Rattus norvegicus: one gene and its partner. The protein of the gene in region 1 interacts with the protein of each later gene in a biochemical or structural test. Links are inferred from orthologs where the notes say so. Each region holds a gene or a part of one and is shown on either strand. Other genes may lie near its edges.

Region 1 (3,732 bases):
GAAGATCGCACAAGGGAATCACCCACTGTATGTTTTTATTCCGTTCACATCCAGCAGTAAATAAGGTGCATTCCTTCTGCTTAAGAAATTAGCATTTCAAAAATATGCCACTTCCCCCTGAACTCCAAGCGTGTCTAATAATGCGAGAAGCAGATTGTCTTCCCTCGTTTCCTTAATTTGTTTCATCTAAAAGCAATTCACTCAACATCTTGTCGCCCTCTGGCAGCTTAGTTTACTTATCCGCACTTAATTTCTCATTTGGACCAAAACAAACTCCTCCAAACTGCTGCCGACTGCTAACCGCGAGAGAGGAGACGCGCGCTATGTATTTACTTGGATAGACAGCCACACACGCACAGGCGCAAACACAGAGCCTCGCTCTCACCAGACAGCGTCTTGTTTTTATAATAGCACTACATTAAAACCAGCTGAACTTTCTCTGCCAGGTGCGGTGGAGGCGCCTGGAAAAAAAAGAAGTCCCTGGGGGCACAGACAGTTTCCAATAGATCACCTAAGTATGCTTGTTGCAATTATACCAGGGATGCACCCGAGAGCTTTTCTTTGTGCGGCCCTTTCATCTAGATCACTTTGTGTTTTGAACAAGTGAGTCTCTCTTTTGTGTCCCCAGAATTTCAAGTACAGAGTCACACACACACACACACACACACACACACACACACACACACACACACGAAACAACAATGGCACGCTAATCCTTGTGCTTCTAAATGGGCTCACTTGTGGGTCTGACAATTCGCCCAGGGAAAGGAGCAGAGAGAGCTAAGGAGCAAGCTGGTGTCGTCTGAGACGCGGAAGGGGACAGCTACAGAACTAATTTGGATTACATTCCTTGCCTAAATTCTGAAAAGGGCTCTTCGGCATAGCCCAACCGGGAGCTGTAGAGTTAATACCAATTGCTGTGGACTTGAGGGGGGATCTCCCAGCGGCCCAGGCCATGCCAGACAGCCCCCTGGTAGGGTGGCCTGATAGAAATTCCTCTCGGCTAAGCCTGCATGACAGTTGCGAGTGTCTTTGAATGGGTCAATGTGCATAATCAACCCATTGAAGGGAAAGGCAAGGGGCTCCGAGTGGGAAGCTAGAAAGGGATGTATCTAGGCGGCCGCCTGGAATCTCAAGTCCTTGCTGCCGCTCTGATTCCAGAGGTGGCTGGAGCGCAGGATCTGGAATGCACGAAGAATCTCGGAGTCACTGGGAGTATGCAAACGGCCAGCACAAATGGCGAGCTTGTGCCACTCGAAGGTCATTTTGAACAGCTCAGAGATTGTAACTTGTTATTTACTAGGCGAGGAGGAAGAGGCGGGAGCGGGGGCGGAGCGGGAAAACTAGCAAGCAGCCGCTTTCTCGGTGAGGTCAGAAGGACACCCTCTAGGGACCTAAAGCTCTCCCTGTCGCCACTGCTGAACGCTTTATCTTCTCAAGCTGACTCCCACGTTCCCGCCACCAGCCCCGGAAGGTTCCGGAAATCTCTCTGCCTTCTCCAAAAGCCCTCTTCTCGCCCCTCTCAGCCGGGTCAGACACACCGGTTCTCCTTAGTCCTTTCGTGTCCCCTCCTCTCATCCGGGAGAAACTCCCAAGAGTCAAAAAACTTTGAGCTCCTCTACGTCTCAGCCGCTGTCATTGGCCTTGGCGGCCCCAGCACGCCAGCGACTCTGTGCTGCCTCTCGGGGTCAATTAGTCGTTTTTCTGTCCAAATACCTAGGGCTTGGGCGATCGGGCCAACAGTGGCGGCACTCAGGAAGCCGCCACCCGGCCCGCCTCGGGCTAAGTCAATGAGTGCCACCCGCGGGCTCTGCAGCCTGGCGGGGCAGTAAACAGAAGTTCAGGCCAACCCCAAGTTGCACTACTGGAAGAACTCTTCCCGGAGCCAAGACCAGCACCGGGAGGGAAGGCCGGGCTCCGGGCTCAGTATGCCAGGATTTTTTTTTTCTTAAGAGATCTTGCTGGCAGGCGAGCCAGCCCCCCCCCCCTTCTCGCCCCAAGTCAATCGAAAGACAGCCCCGAGATGCCAACCAAGAAGGCCCAGAGTCCCTGGCCTCTGGCCGAGGCGCGCACCCGGTGCGCTCCAGCTGCCCGGATAGGGCTGAGCGTCCGATGTGACCCCGCAGGGTACGGGAGACTCGGGCCGGCGGCCGCGTGCCAGCTTGCTCAGGTGCCAACCCCGCTCCCCAGCCGCGCTCCGCCGCAGCCCTGCACCCCGGGAAGGCCAGCCAGGCTCAGCCCGGGAACCTCCTGGCGGCCCGAAGAGGTGCAGAGATTCTCCGGTTTGGTTTGATTATTTTTCCCTTCCCAGCCGGAGGAGGAGGGAACCTCCACTGACGGGGCTTAGGTCTCCCACGCCCCGAACAACGGGCGCCACCAGAAGCGATCCCGCTTAGGCTCCCAGAAAACGCGCCAGAAAGAAAGAAGGGGGCTAAAGAGAGGGCGAGAGGGGGGACAATAATACAGAGGGAGGCAAGAAAGAGGAGTCATTTGTAGCATCAATAAAAACACACGCACGCACGCACACACAAAGGTAAGTTTGGGATGGAGCAAGGGGCGACCCAAGCCAGAAGCAAGGTCCCTACGGTCCCTCAAGCCGGAGGGTGACAGAGGAACGAGGGGAGAAGGGAGCCACCGGAGGCGGTGGCGGGTTCAACAGCTGGAGCGCGACTGGGAACCGCGAGACCGCGACCCACCTGACTGAGAAGCGCTGGGCTGGACGGTCCTGGCTGCCACCAGAAGGCTCCCCCAGACCCACAGTCCCGTCGCCAGCTTCATTTTTGGCAAGTCTCAGATCCCGCGCTGACAATTACATGTCCAAATACCATAGCCACTTGCGGGCACGCGGAGGAGATCTCCCCCCCTCAGCCGGGAGCGCGTGGGGGGCGCGAGGGGGGCGGGCGCGGCGCGCTCTGTGCACGGGCTTCCCGGGGTTGGCGAGCCAGTCGGCGCTGGTGGCGGCTTCCAGGACCCGGGGACCCGCGGACCCAGCAAGGGGCCGCGAAGGAGGGCGCGCGGATGGGAGTGTGCGCGACTGTGCGGCTGGTGCTCCGAGCACAACCGTACAGCTAGTTTCCGGAGTGATCCTCTGCTCGCCCGTTCACTCCTCACTTTCTCGCTCGCTCTCTCTCCTTCTCACTGGTTGGTCAACAATAAAAAGAAAGAGGGGGAATAAAGGCTTCCAAAAAAAGTTGATTGCGAAGAGGCGGCAGGGTTCCGGCCTCTCCCCCCAAAACCAGGCTATGTTCAGCTCTCTCTTCAGTCTCCTTGCATCTCCTGTCCAAATCTGGAGGGAAAAGGAGGGGGGGTGCTTCTTTCCTTCTCCCCGATCCTGTGCCCCTTTTTTTCCACTGTCAGCTTTCCTCACACTTGTCCAGCCATTGCAGTAATTAAAGCTCCGAGCGTCATTTCCAACGCTCCGCGGTCTCCAGCCGCAGCCCCACAGAGAAATTAATAAGACTCAGGGAGAAAGATTTTTTAAAAAAGAAAAGAAAAGAAAAGAAAGAAAAAAAGAGGGGAGTGGGGGTGGGAATCAAACAACCCTCCACGCAACCAGCCAGGCTTTCCTCCGCTGCGCAAGCCCCGCCCCTGCTCTGACCCATGTAGCCACGCCCTCCCCCTAAGGAGAAATCTTATTGGCTCAGACACTCCCCAAAATCCACTGCCCCTAGAGTTGGGAAAACACCTGTCAGGCAGTGGGAGCACGGTGTTGGTAGGGGCTCCTAGGGGAAG
Region 2 (2,381 bases), on another chromosome or scaffold:
TGAGGGGGGTACACAGTTAGGGAAGGAGCAATATCCTGTGGGCTCAGGAGCAGCAGCTGTTCTGGTCCTTCTGGCAATGAGGGTGCCCATTATGTTGTCTTACATGTCCAGACTCTGCCTGTGACATGCCTGAAGCCCCAAGGGTCATCTTTGCCTCCGCTGCCCCAGTGCCAACCCCACAACCCTTTCCTCTTCACCCACCTGGGCAGAAAACTGTTGCCTCAGTCCAGCTTCCCGCTGCAGGGCAGGAACTGGGCTAGAGTTCTGAGGCTGAGTTTAAAGCAGAACGATTTGCGTCAGTCCCTTGGCTGGGTTCCTTAGCACCCAGGGGGACACCTTATAAATGATTTGGAAGGAAGACTTGGAGCAGGTCCTGGGAGCTGGGGCCAGAGGGACTGGAGAGAGGGTCACTTCCGCTCGGGGACTACCTTGGCCCTATCCAATTTTTCTTCCAGTACCCACATGCCTCATCCTAGGCCCTCCTTCTATCTTCCCTCCTCACCTGGGGCTAGGTACACACAGTCAAACAGGAGTTATTTCTGATTTTATTTATAATATAAAAATGTTCAAGTGTCAACAGTCAGGTGCTCGGACATGTCAGGGCTCCCATTTGTTTCTGTTCGGGATTTTTGTTGGCTTTTTAGACAACTGCCTTTCTTTTTTTTTTTTTTTTTTTCTTGACAAATTAGCATTGGATCCAGTTGTGAGGGCTGGCTGGGGAGGGCAGGACTGGAAGATGAAAGTCATAGGTGGGTTGGGAGCTGGGCTGTGAGGATATGGTGTTACTTTATTGCTAAAAGGGGAATCGAATACACTGTTGGAGTGGCTCTTCCGGGTCCCAGCGTGACCATGCATTCAATCTAAAGAATCTGAAATGCGAAGGACATGCAGGCGTAAAATAGAAAAGACGACCTGTAAACGAAGGTGCTGCAGAGGACAGAGGACATCCTGGAGGCCGCAGGGGAGGAGGAGCCATGAAGGTTGGGCCCCTGGTAGAGCTGCCCCCTCCCTAGGCGGGGGGGCTGGTGGGGAGACAGCCTTCTCTGTCCTCTTTCCCTTAGCAGCTGTGAGGGCTGGGGAGGACCTTCCCCATTCTAGTTGCTGTAACGGGAGGCCTGTGTCTCCTCCTGGAAATAACCCCATCTCAATTCCAGCTCGAAGGCTAGGATCCCTGCCCTCTCTGTTCAGGACTCCAGATCTGGACTGGGGAAGATAAAATTTCGTCTTATCTTCATCTTCTTCCTCATTGTTCATTACCCTCAGAACCATTAGAACCTCACAGTCTCTTCTTTACCTGCCTTTTCTCACCCCCACCAGTTTGGGATCCTATAAGCGCCCATCCCCACACTGCACCCCAGACGGCTCTCCAGGAGCCCCAGATTAGCGTACAGCAAAAGGCACCACAATATAGGTTTCTATTAAAGAGTCAAAAAAATTGGCCCATCTCTCTTTTTTTTTTTTGTTGTTTCTTTTTTTTTTCCGAAGCTGTAAATCAGGATGTTACATATAAATAGTTTCCCTATAAAAACGTCTTTGCCGTTAGCTAGTATTATAAGACAATTTTTTTTGCTAAAATGAAAATAAAACATTTTGTTATACTTTTTTCCTTTTATAGAAAATAAAAATATTTTTATTTCTTTGTTCGCTCCTTTTTCCCTCTCCAGTCGGTGGTCTCCGCTCTCCTCGGAGACGTGAGGCGGGCGAGGCGGGAGGCCTTAGAGGGGCCCGGAGTCCTGCTTTGCCCTCGTGGGCGGCCCCCGGCTGTGTCTGCTGCTGGCGCGCGTGCTGTGGCTGTCCAGGGAGTAGTAAGTCCTGCTGTCCGCCGCCGGGCAGAGCGGCGGCGAGTCCGAGCGCAGCGCGTCGTGCGCCGCTCGCAGGCCGAGGAAAGGCGTGCTCTCGGCCGCCAGCGCCCCGTCCGCGTCGTCCGCATCGTCGTCCGAGGCCGACGCCGAGCCGCAGCCCGAACCGCTGCTCAACGACAGCGAGTCCCGCGCTGCGCGTGCGCGCTGCGCAGCCAACCCGTTGAGGCGGGAGCGCCGCCAGCGCCGCGGCCCCGCCGACGTCCTGCGGGACGCGCCGCGCGTGCGCGGCCGCGGCGGTGGCGGGGGCGCGCACTCCTGCGTGGTCTCGTACTCGTCGTCCTCCGGGATGCGGAAGGGGCTGGCGGGCAGGCTGCCCAAACTGCCTCCCAGCGCGCAGGCGCCGCGCCGCGGCCCGGGCCCCGCCGCCGGGTAGTAGTAGCTGTCGTAGCTGCGCTGCATGTCCGCTCCGGGCCCTGGCCCCGGGCCGGGCGGCGCTGGGTGCCGCAGGAGCGGCTGCTGCTCCGCTAGGCGGTAGCTGATGGGCGCTGCGGGTGGCAGCGACACGGCGTGGGCAGAGTT

What was found. The genes of interacting proteins can lie anywhere in the genome.
Region 2: the proteins of Erbb4 (region 1) and Nrg2 form a complex in vitro, tested with the Homo sapiens proteins (2 studies listed by BioGRID). The link is inferred for Rattus norvegicus from reciprocal best matches to the Homo sapiens genes ERBB4 and NRG2.

What each region holds. Positions count from the first base shown.
Region 1 is NC_086027.1:78,042,796-78,046,527, forward strand, and holds the start of Erbb4 (receptor tyrosine-protein kinase erbB-4 precursor), read right to left. Parts: upstream 2,812-3,732; 5' UTR 2,779-2,811; coding exon 2,697-2,778; intron 1-2,696. UniProt on the Homo sapiens protein: Tyrosine-protein kinase that plays an essential role as cell surface receptor for neuregulins and EGF family members and regulates development of the heart, the central nervous system and the mammary gland, gene transcription, cell proliferation, differentiation, migration and apoptosis.
Region 2 is NC_086036.1:27,892,218-27,894,598, forward strand, and holds part of Nrg2 (pro-neuregulin-2, membrane-bound isoform), read right to left. Parts: coding exon 1,716-2,381; 3' UTR 1-1,715. UniProt on the Homo sapiens protein: Direct ligand for ERBB3 and ERBB4 tyrosine kinase receptors. Concomitantly recruits ERBB1 and ERBB2 coreceptors, resulting in ligand-stimulated tyrosine phosphorylation and activation of the ERBB receptors.